Drosophila melanogaster: one gene and its partners. The protein of the gene in region 4 interacts with the protein of the main gene of each other region in a pairwise test. Each region holds a gene or a part of one and is shown on either strand. Other genes may lie near its edges. The genes, in order: idc, Fkbp39, pgc and GEFmeso.

Region 1 (4,898 bases), on a different chromosome or scaffold from region 4:
CAAACGTCGCACACGTAGGGACGCTCCTTAGTGTGAATTCTGGAGAGAAATAATGTCAGTTTAATTTACTTTCAACTGTTTCGAATATTTCTCACCTATGATGTTTGGTTTTCGTGGATCGATCGGCGAAGGCAGCTGGACAGTAGTTGCACTTGTATGGTCGGTTCCCCGTGTGAGTGTTCATGTGCCGTACCAGCTGTTGATTCTGCACAAAGCCTCTTCCGCAGATCCTATAATAACATCCTATTAGCCATAGTTACTATTTACTTTCAACTTTTAAACCTACTCGCACTCGTGTGGTTTAACACCAGAATGGAATTTCATGTGCTCGGTGAGACGCGCCTGAGTCGGATAGATATTTCCGCACACATCGCAGATGTATGTGCTCAGCTTGTTGCGCGGCTTTCTGCCCACCTTCTTTTTGAAGGTTTCCACTTTTGGGCTATTCTTGTGGTATGCAACTGGCTTCCTGCCCGATCGGTCGCATTTTTCCGGCTTAGCATGAGTTGGGTCATAATCTTCGTCAGAGTCGAGTATGTCTTCAGCAATTTCTTCTTCGGGCGGCTCCTCTGTGGCAACATCTGTGCCGGTGGAGCCTTTTTCCTGTGCGATTTCCGGCGAGTTTTCGTTGGTGAGCAGTTCGTATTCCTCGTATTCAGCATAGGTTTCAGCCTCCTCGATCTCATTTGGCACCGGCTGCGTGGGATCGTGCACATCGAACATATTGGTATCATCAGTATCACCATCCTCCACGACATAGGTGATAACCTGATGTTGCTGATCCTCCTCGCCCTCCACTTTCATGCCGCCATCCAGCTGACTGGCGTAGTCCTCCCACGACTTCAGTACGCTCTCCACCGAAAGGTCCTCCGCGATGCTAAGCAAATCCCCTTCGCCGGCGGCGTTAGCATTGCTGGCCTCCCGGTCCAGCATGTCCATAATGTGCTGATGGGATCGCTGGCATGTCAGACGGAACTTGTAGCAGAGCCGCAGGCAGCGCACGCACTTGCTGCACATCTTGTCCGGGAAGTTGTCATCTAGGCTGACCTGTTTGGGTTGGAATAATTTAAAATGGGCAAACCAAGCAGGATTCACACTTACTGGAATGCCTGCGCAAATGTGCAGCATTTGGTCCAGTCGCGTGCTTGCCGTTTCGCTGAATATGTCGTGGAGCAGCTCCTCGCCCTCGCTGGGATTGTTCAGGCAAACGCGGCACACCACCCACTTCTCGTTGGACTCAGTTTTCATGGCTAATTCGATAAAACAATCACTTCGGTTGTTGCAGAAGATTCAAACAGCTGAATTTAAGCGTCCACGGCCACTGGCCATTCACAGCGAAACGCGCCCGCCAAAGTTGATACGGTGAATGCACGTTATGAACGACTACATGGAGCGTACAGGGTACATAGCTGTATGTGCACTTTTTACCAAACAAATGTTTTAAATAATTTTTTTTTGGTAGAAAATAATATAAAAATGCGCGTCATTTTATTAATTTTATTTTCAATTTACAAATATTGAAGGAAAATGGTTTTAAGTTCGTTTATATAATAAAAAGGAAAAGCACTATTCTATCAAAGTAGTTTTGTTTCAGTACAGTAATGACCACACTGTCTTATGGAACGATGGAACTTTACATGAGCTTGACATATAATATTGTATTAAACTGCTTAATCAAGCTTTTATATATTTAAATTGTAAAACACTTGAATTCCAATTTTACTGATTTATTTAACTGCCCACAAAATGCATTCGTATTCTTAATTATATATTTAATATTTGAAGTAGCGAATGGAATACCCTTAGCGTCGACTGTGGTCACCCTGTGTGGCGACATTCGCATTGCAACGCGTGCACTTCGCTCCAGACTACAATCTATTTTTTTGGCGTCGTCTTCGTCCAGCGAGCGTGTTATTATAAATATTATAGCGGAGGGTAAGTAGCCTCCTGGAAGAGATCCATCTCCTATTCGCGACAATGAGAGACTCGGCAGCACATGCGAGTCCGGCGGCAGCGGCAACGAGCACGCAGAAGTGGATCGTTTGCCGGGTTTGCCTGCAGCAGCCCAAGGAGCCCATGGCCAGCATTTTCAACGACGATTCGGAAAAGGATCTGACCCACATGATTCGCGAGTGCGGCGGAGTGCCCGTAAGTTTGTCCCATTGGACCCCGAACCATATAACAATGCAATTTCCTTGGCAGATCAAACAGTTCGATCACTATCCGGACAAGATATGCGAGAAGTGCTTCAAGGTGCTGAAAATGGCATTTAAGTTTCGAGAGACCTGCCAAAGATCGTACGGCCATCTGCGCCAGTTCGTTGGACCCGTAGAGGTGGAGCAGCGACCACCGGAGAAAAAGGGCTCAGAGACAGCCACCAAGCTGGAGCCGGATGTCGATCCCGATGAGGCGGAGCAGGAGCCAGAGCATGACGAGGAAGACGAGGATGTGGACCTGGACGAGAGCCACTATGCCGAGGCGGACGATGCCGCCGAAACGCAGGGTGGTGTCTTCCATGACGAGATTGAGGATGGTATCCTCGTTGAGCTGGAAAAGGATCGGATTGTGCACGTGAAGAACGAGCAGGTGGAGGAGGACGGCATAATCGAGGAGGTTTATGACGTGTATGAGACGTACGAGGGCGACCTCATCCCAGATCAGGGCTATGACCACGAGATGGCCGATCAAGCCCTGTCCGAGTTATCTGCCGAAATCGAATACCTGGACCAGGTCGAGCATGATCAGTTGACCGAAAGTGCCCACGAGGATGATGCGGAAGTCGATCTGAACTCAACCGAAGAGGAGTTCGTTCCCTCAAAAAGCGTTCGCGCGTCCATCCATGCGCGGAATGCCACCAAGCGGAGAGTGAATCCCCGCAGGTCAGCTACATCGACGGCCTCGGTGGCTGTAGAATCGAGTACCTCCAAGACAACTGACCGCGGCAATCCACTTAAGGTACGGCGGGGTAACAGTGATTCGGCTGGCAGCAAAATGAGCATCAAATCCGAGAAGGACATCTCGATTGGCGAGGTGCTGGCGCGCAAGCATTCCGGCATTAAAACCAAAGGCGGCCACAAGATCCTTCTTGGCGACAAGAAGGAGTTCAAGTACATCTGCGATGTCTGCGGCAACATGTATCCCTCCCAGAGTCGCCTTACCGAGCACATCAAGGTCCACTCCGGCGTGAAGCCGCACGAGTGCGAGTAAGTAACTTCACAGTTTTTACTGCGTGTTCACTATGTTCTTTGGAGTGTTATTACGATTTTAGCTCATATATCCGTCTAATTCGGGTATAATGATTGTGTGGAAGTAATTAATCATTTTCAATAAGCCTTCATTAACTTAAAATCTCATTTTTCAGGATCTGTGGTCATTGCTTCGCCCAGGCTCAGCAGCTGGCACGCCACATGAACACCCACACCGGAAATCGGCCGTACAAATGCAGCTATTGCCCGGCAGCCTTCGCCGACTTGTCCACGCGTAACAAGCACCACAGGTAAGTTGGTGAGCTCCAATCCAAACCCGATTTGATTGAATAATTACCCGTTTGCAGAATCCACACCAACGAGCGACCCTACGAGTGCGATGTTTGCCACAAGACATTCACTTACACCAACACCTTGAAGTTCCACAAAATGATTCATACGGGAGAGAAGCCGCACGTGTAAGTTTCGCTTTCCCCCTGGCGGTTACAGTCCGTATTCTCTAGCACGAACTTTCACTGTTTCACAGATTGTTTATGCATACACTAGCTTCAGAACCAGATTGAGTTTTTTTTTTGATATAGAGAGATGGAAATCGTTTATAAAAATATACTTTTTATTCTATAAGAATGTACAATTCACAGTGGAAACTATTTTGAAAGAGCCATGCTGTTTCAAAAGATTATTGTTTACGAATATTACGTAGTATATTAATATTTTGAGTTTAGTTGATTGTTTATTAGGTGCCTGAGGCGTAAATAACATTAGATAAACAGGGAATGAAGTATTAGTGTTTAAATATTATAAGTTATAAGGAAGACATAAATTAATCAAGGATTCTAATCAATTTAAAACACGTTTGCTCTCTCTCTTTAGCTGCGATGTGTGCGGCAAGGGATTCCCGCAGGCGTACAAACTGCGTAACCACCGGGTCATCCACGAGAGGCGCGGCCAGTCCGCACGGGAATCCGTAGCCGGGCTGGTGTCCTACGACACGGCCAACATCGTTGGCCTGGATATGTAAATTTCGAGCGAGGACTCCACGTCGTCCCAAAGCGACACTTTACACTTTAAGCAGAAACACGCGTGTAATTACACATCTAATTATATTGATGAAATTTAAGCCTAGCCTAATTATGCGGAAATAAATTAAGAATAGCCGCGCATATGGTCTTGGCGTCGGTCTCCTCCGGATAGAGCTGCAGTACGGCATGCACCTGGTGCGGTGGGAAAAGGCTGCCCAGGTGATAGCGCAGCAATCGGCGCTGCTCCTCCCGCGGAAGCTGCTGCGAGGCGTGCAGCTCCTCGTTGATGCGCGAATCGGAGGCAGACAGATGGGCGAAGTTGTGAGCGGGCAGTGGCAGACCCAGTCCCTGATCCGTGACCGGGGCGGATGGCGTGCGCGTCAGATACTGGTGGTGATAGTTGGTGCTGGAGTTGGACTGTTGATGCTGCTGCTGTGCCTGGTGTTGTTGTTGCTGGAGGGGAGCACTGTAGGTGGGCACCAGCAGGCGGTAGGCGGGCGGCGGTTGTTGGCGCTGCAGCTTCTTGTGGCGATTGGGCTGGCTGGATTCCACGGCACCCTCTGAAAGATCCATTTGAGCGGAGAAGCCCTGACATACCTGCTCGATGGTATTTGACTTGGTGCGCCCCAGCGGCTCCCGGCTAATCAGTGAGTTGATCTTAACATTGTTA
Region 2 (3,903 bases), on a different chromosome or scaffold from region 4:
GATGATGCTCCGGATAAGATCCTTCTTATTTTTTACGGCCTTTCGCAGCGGTTCACGAAGCGAAAGCTGCACGAAGTCCTGCAGCTCGGAATAGATGTTACGCCGGATAGCCTCGCACAATACGGTTTCAATGCGCGCCATTAGCACCTGCAGTCCCTTTATCATGGCGATGACCTCGATCAGCGCGAACTTCTCTTCCGAGGTGTAATTGTAGCGGGTGGCCCGCTCGTACTCCTCAGCCTCCACGGGGCACTCCTTGTTCTGGTGATGATCAGTCGGATGCAGGAGCTTCCAGGAGTACAACTCGGTGACCACACTGGTCCACTCGGACAGCAATTGAAGGCCGCGCAGAGCCAGGTCGGCCGTAATCCGGTTCTCGGCATCAGAGGGATTCTCCTTGACGGTGGTGGTCACCTCGTTTGTGTATCGCGCCAGCTCCGAAATGTACTTGACGTGATCCTCGCGTATCTGCGGCAAATGCACCATTAGATCCGCCTGTGGGCTGATGGCGTTTGAGCTGGACAGCGGCCACTTGCTGGAATCGAAGTGCTTGCTGCGCTTTATGTAGTTGAAGGGAGCAATCTGCATGTCGCCGAAGAGGGGCACCACTTCCAGGTTCTTAAAGATGCGATCGATGCGATCCAGCCGTATCTTCTTCTTTTGATCAAGTTTGTTGATATTGCACGCATCGCTGTCCATAAGGAACAGGCCAAAGCCCATAACTTTTACCAGCATGTGCTTCTCCTCAGGGGTCAAGTACATCTTTGTCTCGAACATATGCACGCAAATGTTGACCACATCTGAGAGCAGATCCTCGTAGCCCACGATCTTCTCCAGCGTGTCCTTGACCGTGTCGCGAATCTTGTTCTGCGTGGCCAGGAACATGGACAGATTCTGCGACTCCTGCAAGGTGTGCGAGTCCGACATCACTTTGAGGAACTGCGCAGCTCGCCTGTAGGTGGAGTAATCGTTCTTCACGCTGGACTTCATGTTCTTCAGCTCGTCCAGCACGGCAAACATGTTGATAAACTTGCCTAGCGTCAATAGGTACGCCTCGGACACGAAGTCCTTGCGCTTCTCGGCGTGGCACAAGCGCTTCACCTCGCCGGAGAAGGCCTCGATGGCCTTGCGTTGGAAGTACATGAAGTTGAGCAGCTTGTTCACCTCCGGGGCTAGCACCTCGACCGTCTTCTCGTAGATCTCCACGCGATTCGGCTGCTCATTGGACTTGGGCTGCGGAATGGCGCGCGAGCAGCAGCGCCAGGTGTAGAGCATTACTGCGTGTTTCTGCCCCTCGTCCAGGAGCACATTCTGCGGGCGGAGAGAAGGGGTTCAGAGCTGTGAGTAATGCTAATGCGATAAGCCGGATACGCTAACTCACCAAGTTGGCATGGGTGGTGGCCTCCTCGATGTACTTGGCGATACCCGTGACAAATCCATTGCGATCCTCGAAATTCGTATCGAAGTTTGCCTTGTAGATAATCGAGCAGGGCTGCGCCTCGATGCAGGGCTGCTCGTCCGGCAGGGATAGCTCGTCCAACACCTCCACGTTGGACAGCGCGTCGGCTAGCGTAATCTTCTCCGTCATGCTGGGCTGCTTATCATGCTCCAGCAGCGCGAAATGGTTAAATTCTAACAAGGCGGGGCCCCAATCCAATCGACACAAATTTTTTTCGCCACAAATACAACACGACTTTTACCATTCGCCTGGGTGCGTGGACACGTGGCCATAATTAGCACATTTTTGCTGGCGGTTGGCGTCTACGATGTGCTTATGCTTATATGGCTGCGCACCGCTAATTTCGATAAGAGAAAGATAATCGATAAATACGGCGCATTGGCGGCACATCACATCACTAGCGTCTGTGGTTCCGTTTCGTTTTAGCGAACTCAATTTCTCCTATTTTATATTGCATTTTCCGTTAAGAGTAGCCTACAATTCTGCAAGATGTCGATGTTTTGGGGTAAGTCGAACTGATCTCACTTGCCCCCTCCGGGCTGGTTGTGCCAACGAGCTCTTGGGTGCTCCGACCGCGCTTTTATTGCCACCACGTGCTTGCCGCTCGATTTACCGGCAGCGTGGAGCGGCGCCATTTGCACGCCGATGTAAAGTAAACCATGTTTTTGACCAACTGTGTCCTCTTCCAGGTTTGAACATGAAGCCTGAGCGCAAGTACTCGCAGACGATCATCAAGTCGTTCCACATCTCGGGCGTGGCACTCGACAAGGGCCAGGAGGCCAAGTTGTACCTCGCTGCCGAGAAGCAGGAGTACATCGTGGCCACCGTGACCAAGGCCATTCCACAGGTTGCGCTCGACCTGAACTTCAGCAAGGGCGATCGCATCATGTTCTACACCGCCGGTAAGACCTTTTATGTCCACTATGTTCGCATGTTTATCCGTTTCTGACGCTTTCGTTCGTTTCACAGGCGACGCCAGCGTTTCTCTGTTGGGCTACTTGCACGACATTGATTCCGAAGATGATGAGGATGACGATCAAATGACGATCGAGAATTTGCTGAACTCCAAGGCGATCAAGAATAGCAAAAAGTCTGAAGATGATGAGGATGAGAATGAGAGCGGCGAGGAGGACGAGGAGGATACTGATGACGATAGCCAGATAATCGAGGAATACGAGTCCTTCCTCGAAAATGGTGAGGAGGAAGATGACGACGATGTTGATGAGGATAACGAGGAGAGTGGCGAGGAGGATGAACAGGACAGCGACGACTCCGAAGCTGAAGAGGAACAGCCAAAGGCCAAGGTTGCCAAGCTCTCTCCTGGCGCTAGCGCCAAGAAATCTGGCAAGGAGCAGAACGGTGTGGCCAAGAAGGAGGAGGCCAAGCAGCAGCAAAAGAAGAAGGAGAAGCCAGAGGCCAAGAAGGAACAACCCAAGGCCAAGGAGCCAGCCAAGCAGCAACCAGCTTCTAAGGATCCACGTACTATCACCGGAGGCGTGAAGATTGTGGATCAGGTCGTCGGCAAAGGCGAAGAAGCCAAGCAGGGCAAACGCGTATCTGTTTACTACATCGGCCGCCTGCAGTCGAACAACAAGACCTTCGACAGCCTCCTGAAGGGAAAACCATTTAAGTTCGCCCTGGGCGGCGGAGAGGTCATCAAGGGCTGGGACGTGGGAGTCGCCGGCATGAAGGTGGGCGGCAAGCGAGTCATTACCTGCCCCCCGCACATGGCGTACGGCGCACGGGGAGCTCCACCGAAGATCGGACCGAACTCCACTCTCGTCTTCGAAGTGGAACTGAAAGCTGTGCATTAGTGCACTATATTAACATCATATAGACTTGTAATCCTAAGTAAGTATCCACGTCGTACAACTTGATAAAAATGTTAAATAAACTCTGTTTTCCGGCTGTTCATAAATCAACAGTTTTGTAACAATCGCATGTATTTGGTATGGGGTCTCTAAGGGGTTTTTTCGGGTGAACATACATCCAGCAGGGGCTCAGACTGGAGTTTCCAGTGCTCGAGTACGTAAGGCAGCCGTTCGCTGGGATCTGTGCTCCAGTGGTGCAGACGACACTTGAGTCGCGCCTGTTCCAGCTTGTTTATGGTCACAGTGCAGTAGAAGTCCTTGTTCTCCTTCTTCAGGTCGGGTCCCTCGATGCGCTCCTTGGGCAGGGTAATGCACTCCTCGCGACAATAGAACCCAGTCTTGCGCAGCGAGGCCTTGATGTGCCAGGGCTCGAGCACCCATGGCTCATCCTTGTTCATGACCACCGCCAGCACAATGGTCTCCAGCATGTTGACCGTGCGCTGGGCGTAGGGGGAGCTGTGTTTAACAGTCGATTTTTCAGCCTCTGTCTTGGCGTACTTGGCCACATTCTCCGGCGTATTGTACGCGGCCAAACCCGGCAGCAGGAGCTTATTGTAGACAAAGTGCGGCTTC
Region 3 (4,956 bases), 3.7 Mb from region 4:
GCATCTTCGGGGAGATTTCGTGGGTTTTTCCATCTCCTCCAGCCGCTCGGATTGCTAGCGTCGATCGTTGTCGTTATCGTTTCGAGGACGTCGCGTTGTGTGCGGACGACCCTTGGGCTCCGGATTGGGTTCCGCTAGGGCTAAAGTGCCCAGACTGCCGATGAGTCCGAGGATGCCGAATACCAGGAACAAACTAAGCCACTTCATCTCGCGATCGCGATGTCGAGTTATTACCAGTTCAACACAAACTGCTGAACGATACGCCTGGAATCAAACGTTTTATGGCCTGGCGCCCAGAAGATCGGCGACGATCTGCATGCTAATGAGGGAAACTGCCGTCAACATCGTTTACCATTGCCAGTAGTTTATGTTCGCAGATCGGCCAGATAGCGCGGCAAATTGAGTTGTAAATCCAGCGCGAAAAATGGGCGGACATACATTTAGGTAATTAGCTCCATTGTAATGGGAACAATTGTTCCCATTACAATTGAATCGCAGTCACATCTTACTGTGGGACCCGTAATTAAAAACGAATGGGTTTTTGAACGATTGCGAATCGAAAATATATTTCTATCTATTTTTTGGGTAAGTATTTGAGAAATTTCGAGCTTCCCTACTTGTTCTTGAATACATTAGGTGCAATACCGAAGGCAAATTATTGCCATTTTTAGATCTAGGACAACCATATGCGATTGATTGGTACAAATTGATTACTTGGTAGAGTGACAAAACAATGCGAGTTTTCACGAAAGCAAACATTTGAATACACGGACAAATTGACTTCAAGAAACTATGCATACGATCGCCTCTGAAGGCTGGTAGTTACAATATAAAATAACCGAGCACTTATCAAAAGTGCATTCACGATGTTCCACTCATGTGGCAAACGAACTGCTAAAACTATAATTTACAAATATCACAATAAGTTGGCTTTTGGGAGGTCCAGTCAGAATCTCCATCTATCCGCGATGACCGGCGGACTCAGGCTCAAGTTTTGCTGGAAAACCTGGCAGAGCTCATTCATCTCCCGCTCCCTTTGCAACTCCTCGCGCACTTGATGCCACATGGACTCGAATCCATTGTCGTAGGATGCCATCGAGGCATCGCCCTCGCAGGAGCTGTCTTCAAAAATAAAGGAGTACTCCATCTGGTAGTCGCACATTTTCGGGTCTTCTTGTAGTTCAAAGCTGCAAGACAGAGAATTTCAAATTGTTAGCTATCGATTATGAAGTGCTGTCTTTTGGCGCCAGCTATCGATTCGGCGGGTTCTTATCAAACGAAAGACCAGTCCAGCTGATTTCATTTATATACAGAATGTCGCGGAAGAATGTCTTAGGTTTGATCAACACGATCGTGGCCAACTCGTAAGTAAAAATTGCGTTTTATAACTGATTTCAAGTGATTTAAATAAAGTATGGTCTTATAGCTGCAAGTGCCCCGCCCATTCGCATAACTATGGCTCAGCAGCTCCAACCGCCTCCCAAACGGGTCGCATGGAATACGCCTTCGAGGTAAGTGGCAAAACCTTGGACTTTGGAGCACCTCCAGATAGTAGATTCTCATCTTTAGACAGGTGGTCATACCCTGGACCAGATAATACTATCTCTATATTCTTAAGCATCCCAATAGAATTTATATTTTAGATCTTGTGAATACTTTTAACTTAAATTTTGTTCGGTATATAACAAATTCTAATTCAAATTTGGTCAAATGTATTGATAAACAGATGTCAGCCTCGACTGTTCGATTTGGACCGGGAGTAAGTGCCGAAGTGGGAGCCGATCTTCGCAACTTGGGAGCTCGGAAGGTTTGTTTGGTCACGGATAAAAATGTCGTGCAATTGCCCTCCGTGAAAGTGGCCTTGGATTCACTGGCTCGTAATGGCATCAACTACGAAGTCTATGATGAAACCCGGGTGGAGCCCACGGATGGGAGCATGTGGCATGCCGTGGAGTTTGCGCGCGGCAAGGAGTTCGATGCATTTCTGGCCATCGGAGGAGGATCTGCCATGGATACAGCCAAGGCAGCTAATCTTTTTAGCAGTGATGCAAATGCAGAGTTTTTGGATTATGTAAACTGCCCAATTGGCAGAGGCAAGGAGGTGAGGTCTCCTTTTTAGACTTAGTACCTTTAATACCACTTGAATTCCATTTAGATATCCGTAAAACTGAAGCCCCTGATTGCGATGCCCACCACTTCGGGAACAGGTTCCGAAACCACTGGAGTAGCTATATTTGATTACAAGAAGTTGCATGCCAAAACTGGGATTTCCAGCAAGTTCCTCAAACCTACTTTGGGTAAAAAACTGAACTTCTTTAAATAATTTATTCTAATATCGTTCTATCTAACTCTAGCTGTGATTGATCCTCTGCACACCCTATCCCAGCCGCAACGCGTGATGGCTTTCGCTGGCTTTGATGTGTTCTGCCATGCCCTGGAGAGTTTCACGGCGGTGGATTACAGGGAACGCGGTTTGGCGCCCAGTGATCCCAGCTTGAGACCCACCTACCAGGGCAGGAACCCAGTGTCGGATGTGTGGGCACGATTCGCATTGGAGACGATAAGGAAAAACTTTGTGAACGCCATTTACCAGCCCGATAACCTAGAAGCCCGATCCCAGATGCACCTGGCTTCCACAATGGCTGGCGTGGGATTTGGTAATGCCGGAGTGCACCTGTGTCATGGCCTTTCCTATCCTATTTCTGGAAATGTGAGGGATTACAAGCCAAAGGGCTACTCCGCGGATCACGCTCTTATTCCACACGGCCTATCCGTGGTGATCAGTGCTCCGGCGGTCTTTGAGTTCACTGCTCCAGCTTGTCCGGATCGGCATTTGGAGGCTGCCCAGTTGCTGGGCGCAGAAGTGCGAGGTGTCGAAAAAGCAGACGCCGGTCGTCTTTTGGCGGACACTGTACGCGGTTTTATGCAACGCGCGGGCATAGAAAATGGCCTCCGAGAGCTGGGATTCTCCAGCAGCGATATACCCGCCTTGGTGGAGGGAACCCTGCCCCAGGAAAGGATCACTAAGCTAGCACCCAGGGCGCAGACGCAGGAAAACCTGTCGCAACTCTTTGAGAAGTCCATGGAGGTCTATTAATTTGGAGCCAAAACTTACCCACGCTCAACTTGTTCTCTTGAAGAAAAAAAAATGTTAAACTAACGGATCTTCGTTTAAGATCTGACCATACTTGAGCTTTCAAAATTCTATTTTTTTTAAGCGTATAAAAAGCTTAGAGTGAACCATTTAATTTTGGTTGGACTTGTGTATATACGAAAAATACCATTAAAAACCCTATACAGAATCACAGGAAATTTGATGCCCTGCTTGATTTTTGTTTACTTTATGTTCTTTGTCGCAATGGATCTTATGTACATTCAGCATTATTTTGTGGCCTCTTTTTTGGTCTGCACTTCGTTTGAGAATCCTCTACTCAGTTTGCTTTCCTAAGCTGCAGGAAGAAGACCGACGCTGGGACCAAAAATACTATGATATAAGATATTAATATTAATATAATATCATACAAATCATACATGATATCATATCATTAAAACAAAAAAAAAAGGATTAAATCCTACAAATTAGTTGCTCCAAAAAAAGCTTGTAATTTTTGTAATTATAATATATTTTAGACTGAAACATGTTTGAGTACTCCTTCATGTTCGAATCCTCCGGATGTGAGGGTAAATTTCTAGGGATGCCCTACGACGGGGAATTCGAGGCAATGTGGCAGCAGATCGGCAATGAACTCCGTTCCAGACATAATCGCTTCCTGGGAATGCCGTTCGATAGTGGATTTGAACGGATGTGGCGGCAGGTCAGAGAGGAACTGAAACGGGATCGGGAAGATAACGAATTGGCACTCTGTTTCCAGCGGAATTTGAGCACCTACGTAAAGGAGGAAGGGGATGTCGGTCAACTTGAGTCTTTTATTGAACGCAGATAAAATATATTCAATTTTATTGAAAGGCATGTTATTGTTTAAAGTACGTATGCAAGTGTGTATGTCTATTAAGTATGCATTGTAAAGATTACGATCGGTTTGGTTAAAATAATTTATTGTTTTCGGAATCGGTTTCAATGTCGAATAGGTCAAGCTGTTACTTGCCTTCGATTGGAAAAAAGATAATAAAAAAGTCTTAACATAGTTTATGCATTAATTATTTCTCTCATCTCTTGATCATATTAAAAATCAGACGTCATTCTAGGGAGTCTCCTAACCGTTTGCTACACAGACCCGCATCTAAAACTCTTACTACTTTCTGTTCCTCGCTCCTCGTTTCTTGTTCCTGACTTGACACTCAGTTTAGAAACCTTAATGTGTTTAAGTAATTTTCGCTCGGTTTGAATTTTGGCAAAATGGCACTAAATCTTCAAGTTGTTCCCGGATATGGACTAATTGGATACGGATTGTGGGCAGAGGTTTGATAAATTGCAAATCCGTTGCTTTCGAAACGGTTGCTCATCAAACGCGTTCTCTGAAAGCCCACCTCTGCTGTTGCCAAGGACCTTTGACTGGTCTTAACAGTATTTGATGGTACAGGATATTTCAAGGATAAAGGATTTTGTCAAAGATTTATTCTCTCTCTTTCAATCTCTTATTTGGATTCAAGTATTTTTTAGTTGTTGCTTTGTTTCCTCGCACTTTCGCTAATACTTTTAACTGCCACCTACTGCTCCTCCTCCTGTTTCTTACATTCTTGTGCTTGTGTTTAGTCAATTGTCTGATGTGATTTTCCACTTTTTCAACTATCAATATACTTATAAATTAGAAAAACAGCGCAACTCGTTCGATTTCCGCGGCCACCGGCCCGGAACTGCTGATTCTAGGTGGACTTAGACCTGATTGATGGGCGCGTATCGGTGCACCTTTGGCTGCTTCAGATGCTTGGGCTCCTTCTGCTCCTTGCTGGTCGGCTTCACGATGTCCTCGCTCAACTTCTGGTATACGAACGAGT
Region 4 (4,872 bases):
AATTGCCCGATCCTTTTGTGAAATGTGCGTTGTGCGGAGCTAAAGTTGCTGCCATTCCTCAGTGACTCCGAGTAGTGATTAGGGTGAAACTTGCAGGGCCAGTGCTTAAGGGTCTTCTCGTACTGCACCCGCAGTCGGGGCATCCGTTCCGGCACCTCCACCACCCGGACTCCCTGGCACAAAGCACGGAGCACGTGCTCCGAAAAGGCAAACTGTTCAAGGTGTTGTTCCAGGCTTTGAGACACTCCGATCTCTGAGCTGGGACATATGAGCACGCTGCGATCCTGGACGCGCTTTAGGTGTTGAAAGTGGGGCAATTTCTGTGAGAGCTCCTGGATGACCGCCTGGAGCTGCTGTTTCGTCTCCAACTCGCAACTGTGCGCCTTGATGAGCGCAATATCCTCGTCGAACTCATCGGAGAGGATGGCCCGGATCCCAGTTATGTCTTCATCCAGATTGGGTGATTTTCGAGCACGTTTGTTTGGTGGCGCGGATATATCCATTATTTACTTAATTCTTCAATTAGAAGAATGCCAATTGGAATCGATTGAAATAGGTTATCGATAAGTGCCAAGCGCTGGCGTTGAAACAGCTGTTTGGATATTAAGCGCCAACTTTGAAAAATGTCTTCTATTTAAAATATGCATTTAAAAATAATTTAGTGAAAGATTATACGTTTAAAAGTCTTTAAAGCTATTTAGCTTGGGAGCTGTTTCAAATATTTCCTACTTTTGATATACATTCCCTAATACTTAATCTAATCAGCTCAATAATCTGATCAATTGTCTAATTTGCATTATAATTCCTTACAACCAATATCTTTTTTGATGTCTACATGTAAGCAGTGCCCAGTCTGATACCCAAAGTTTAAATTCAAAATTCCAGTGAAATATGTGCTTGTGATTTCTAGTCAAAACTTAGAGGAAACATCGAAATGTGTCTGCGCTTGTTTTGCGGCTATTTGTCGCTTTACATTGGCTGCATCTTCATCGGCTTCACGGGGATGCTTCTAGCTTTAATGGTCTTTTCTGTGGGTCTATTCGAGATGATCAAGGGCAATCCGGAAACAGTGCTTGTGGTCATGGCAATGGTCTTTGGCATTGTCCAAGCCCTAGCTAAAATTCTTCTTCTCCTCGGAACGATGTGGGTAAGTGAATACTTTTATCCTTAAATTTGTAAAGATATCCAATCGCTGTTCTACAGGACATGTGCTGGGCCATGCTCTTGTCCTTTTTTATAGGTATTGCGGCCCTGGGGCTCCTCATCGCACTTGTGGTGCTCTTCTACATCCTCTTGTGGGACCCTCTGCACCTCCTTCTGGGCGGTTTTCTTAGCATACGTAAGTTGGTGAAAAAATTTTGAATTTCTTTTGGATCTGAAAACAAAAGAAGATAGAGAAGTAGATTAATACATTAACTATCGAGAACTTCTTTCTATAACACACACACAACATATAACACAAACAAGCAACAAAACGTAGTGGACTTAAAAAGTACATAAATTCTATTCACGTTCGATTTTTAATTAAAATAATATTTTTCTCTTATCCAGTCGAGATGTACTACGAATGGGTCATCATTTCAACCTGGTGGTGCTGTCGATCATGCACCCACGACTGCTAGGAGTTGCAGTTGGTTCCACTTGTTGCATGCATAGAAGATACAAACATACCATGTTGGAGATCGAACGCCTTGGAATGAGCATACTATGCAACTCTCAGCGATCTTCGCATCGGATGTAATACTGTGAGCACCGAGAGAGAGAGAGAGAACTTGTATTCGAATCCCCCCATTATTTGTGTATGAGGTGACTTCGTGCTCGGGTCTTCCGACTTGAGTGTCTTTCAAGTAAGTCAGTTCACTCTGAGACGCGCGCTGGATATGTCGTTCCTGGAGCGCTCGAGCTGTTCCTGCGAATGAGCGTGTGTGTGCCAGTGTACCGCCCCCTACCCGTCAAGAAAAAAAAAAGGAAATAAAAATATCGGCAGGAAAAATATCAAAAATTATATCTGAAAATACACAAGTGTATCTGCAAGTGCAGTCGTATATGTGAGACGAGAGTGTTTTCCATTTGCCGCAATTAGAAGTAACGGTGCGAAGGTGATTTGCACGGGAGAAACTGGAAAATCAGCGAAGCGCGAGATACTTGTATCTGCAATTTGTGTGTTTTCGTTTTGTTTTCGGTTTCGCAAATAGCAAGTGAAGAGCCCATTACTTTAATTCAATCAACGATCGGTTGTTGTGTGGCCCGCTTTTGGAGAATCCCCACAATTTGTTCTAAGCCCAAATAAAAGTAATAAAATAAAAGCCCCAACCCCAGAGACAGAAGTCCGTGAGCCGGTTTAGTCATCCGAAAGTTCCGAGAACTGAGCGCAACATTGAGATACATTCGCGTATTCTCATTCCGAATCGCTGGACACCAGCTGTTGGCCACAATGCCTCCGTACCTGCTGGATATTTGCCTTACCTCGGAGCTTAGTAGACCGCGATAAGATATCGGCGACTAGTGGTGAATAAAGCCAGATACTCGTACTCGAAACTGCGAAAACGTCCATATACGACAAACAAACGGAAAAGAAAATCGCACAGTTCGGTGCCAGTGTTTAAAGTTAAATCGAGCGCTTATCTTATCGGCCAGCCATTGATTGAGCTTTGCCTTTCCGCTCTGCACCGGGTGAAGTCATTTGGCCACAATTCGCCCGTTTTAGATACTGTATCTGCGGCCATATCTAATGCAGCAGCCAAAGCAGTCGCGATAATAACGACCTCCTTCAGTGTCAGTTGCTCTGCAATCGCCGTCTAAATTTAGAGACAGATCAGGCGCGAGGGACCAGATCTGGCCAAAACCAAACCAGACGCACTCGGAAATCGTAAATCAAGCAGCCGGAGGAGACCAAGATGGACATAGAATCCGATTCGGACACCTCGGAGAGATGGGAGGACTTTTTTGGTAAGCGAACGGGATCACTGAACTTCTGCGTGCAGAAATGACATGACTCAGCGGGCTGGGGAGGTGCACTGAGGAAAAATCACGTATCAATCACAGATAGAGACTAGTAATATTGGTTTTCAGCATTTCAGACGACATTAGTCTACATTTTAATAATCCGTCATTGAAGGCATAAGAACATACAAAAGCTTAGGGTACTATATGTTTACAGTAGGATTATGAATAATATACATATGTCCCGATCTTATATTTCTTCCTGTGTGGGAGACACTACGCATTCTCCAAGAACTCCAAACTCCGAATATGGACTTGCGTACAAGAACAGACCATCAAGTTGGCTTTCTTTGGCTCGGCGGGTTGGGGGATGGTGATGGAATGGGGATTGCGGCTGGTGCTGGGACTGGGACTGGGGCCAATGCATTTGGTGGATCGACGGCACCGTTCCGTTCCCATAACTGTACAAAAAGTGGGGGGAAAATAAAATAACAACCCACTGAGTGGCATTGCGTGAATTGCGGTGTAACGGGTTCGCTTTGTTTTTGCATTCCGCTTTTGCGCAGTCCGAAATTTTTCGACATTATTTAAGCGCTCGAAAAGTCGGTTGTAATGAAATTTAATGATAATACATAATTTCGGGCCATTTTGACCCACATATTACCATACAAGTGTGGCCAAGAAAAGGTCTGTCTTCGGATTTGCAATTTATGTTTTGGGTGGCTCCATTCGGTTTGCTGACCCACTTAATTCGTAACGCCGATTTGCTTGTAACTTTGTGGCACATGCTGCATATTTGTTTTTCTTCTCACCGAAAGCTTTCGTTCAATTAAGTGCATTAGTCATAAGTCTTGACACTGCGTTTCTTTTGTTGACTTTCTTTATTATTATTGCACGCCCGCTAACAGCGGATGTTAGATAACGCCGCCCTTAGCGCAACAGCGCTGTAAGTAGCTCTGTTAGTTAACCCATGTTAGGCCAAAGAAGGTTTCCAAACTTATAATAATCAATAGTAATATGTATATGTAATAAGTAATATGTATTATCATACTAATTGCAAGTAACTCTATTAAAACTGTAAAACTGAATTTAAGCAATCTTTTGGCCAACACAATTCCAAACCAAATGTGTGAAGAGAGAGAGAGAGAATAACTAATTTAGTTAAGTACCTTCAAAAAACTGCCCGAAGAAAATAGTTTAAAACGGGTTAAGATGGTGCGTCAATTATTGATAACGGACACTGCGAATTCAGCAAGTGGCCTTTGTTATATCAATTATATACACATACATGAGTAGGGCGAATGAATCATGTATAGGTGATGGGGGGGTGTTGCGGCATTTATGGGTTTGTTCTGCTGATCCCACCAGCTTAGACATAGACGATTGTGCAAGTGGTTGACATTTGGCGGGGTCAGCAAACGTGACGCCATCTGTCGGCCGCATGTCCAGGATATTACCGATCGCATCGACCTATAAATAGAACCCGCCGAATGATATCGCCAGCAGTTGACCGCATGCACTATCAAATGTCACCAGTTCGTCTTCTTTTGCCCTTTCCGTCACCGTGTTTGTTTGCCTCTTCAACAACAGAGTCAACTTCAATTCCAGACAAACAAACAAAACGGGGGAATAAGAAATTTTCATCTGTGGACACAAGTGCATGAGCGCAAGGGGGCAGGGTGCCAGGTCAAGTCGTTGAATTACCACTCGTAACCACAAACACCACGGGAGTCTGTTCATTCGATATTGTTAAAGATTGTGATCTGAGGAAACCTTTTTGGGCCCTGCGGTTCGCCATCGATTCTCTTGTGACATTTATTTGGCTGGCCTGGCTTTCATATTTGGTTTATTCAATAAATACTAATAGATATCGATGGTAGTAGGGCTAAGGCGTTGATAAGATTTCGCCGCATGTATTTATTGACTTTT

What was found.
Region 1: the proteins of GEFmeso (region 4) and idc interact in a two-hybrid assay, tested with the Drosophila melanogaster proteins (one large-scale study listed by BioGRID).
Region 2: the proteins of GEFmeso (region 4) and Fkbp39 interact in a two-hybrid assay, tested with the Drosophila melanogaster proteins (one large-scale study listed by BioGRID).
Region 3: the proteins of GEFmeso (region 4) and pgc interact in a two-hybrid assay, tested with the Drosophila melanogaster proteins (one large-scale study listed by BioGRID).

What each region holds. Positions count from the first base shown.
Region 1 is NT_033777.3:20,029,963-20,034,860, forward strand, and holds idc (identity crisis), read left to right. Parts: upstream 1-1,860; 5' UTR 1,861-1,977; coding exon 1,978-2,148; intron 2,149-2,202; coding exon 2,203-3,203; intron 3,204-3,361; coding exon 3,362-3,496; intron 3,497-3,553; coding exon 3,554-3,664; intron 3,665-3,918; exon of another isoform or gene 3,919-4,079; coding exon 4,080-4,227; 3' UTR 4,228-4,333; downstream 4,334-4,898. Other genes in the region: trem (trade embargo), read right to left, coding at 1-39, 96-230, 287-1,047, 1,102-1,248; Regnase-1 (regnase 1), read right to left, coding at 4,334-4,898.
Region 2 is NT_033777.3:15,331,074-15,334,976, reverse strand, and holds Fkbp39 (FK506-binding protein 39kD), read left to right. Parts: upstream 1-1,843; 5' UTR 1,844-1,948; coding exon 1,949-1,964; intron 1,965-2,148; coding exon 2,149-2,361; intron 2,362-2,428; coding exon 2,429-3,273; 3' UTR 3,274-3,393; downstream 3,394-3,903. Other genes in the region: Cyfip (cytoplasmic FMR1 interacting protein), read right to left, coding at 1-1,311, 1,382-1,588; mRpL9 (mitochondrial ribosomal protein L9), read right to left, coding at 3,420-3,903. UniProt on the Drosophila melanogaster protein: PPIases accelerate the folding of proteins. May function in a signal transduction cascade during early development.
Region 3 is NT_033778.4:22,328,403-22,333,358, reverse strand, and holds pgc (polar granule component), read right to left. Parts: upstream 3,160-4,956; 5' UTR 3,098-3,159; coding exon of another isoform or gene 2,355-3,097; intron 2,298-2,354; coding exon of another isoform or gene 2,156-2,297; intron 2,102-2,155; coding exon of another isoform or gene 1,727-2,101; intron 1,512-1,726; coding exon of another isoform or gene 1,427-1,511; intron 1,365-1,426; coding exon of another isoform or gene 1,315-1,364; exon of another isoform or gene 1,287-1,314; intron 1,189-1,286; exon of another isoform or gene 1,188-1,188; 5' UTR 1,163-1,187; coding exon 947-1,162; 3' UTR 546-946; downstream 1-545. Other genes in the region: CG34208 (uncharacterized protein), read right to left, coding at 55-207; T3dh (type III alcohol dehydrogenase), read left to right, coding at 1,315-1,364, 1,427-1,511, 1,727-2,101, 2,156-2,297, 2,355-3,097; CG34207 (uncharacterized protein), read left to right, coding at 3,639-3,944; Gp150, read right to left, coding at 4,835-4,956.
Region 4 is NT_033778.4:18,608,758-18,613,629, reverse strand, and holds the start of GEFmeso (guanine nucleotide exchange factor in mesoderm), read left to right. Parts: upstream 1-1,852; 5' UTR 1,853-2,897; coding exon 2,898-2,949; intron 2,950-4,872. Other genes in the region: CG10927 (uncharacterized protein), read right to left, coding at 1-503; CG42697 (uncharacterized protein), read left to right, coding at 935-1,147, 1,204-1,339, 1,552-1,622.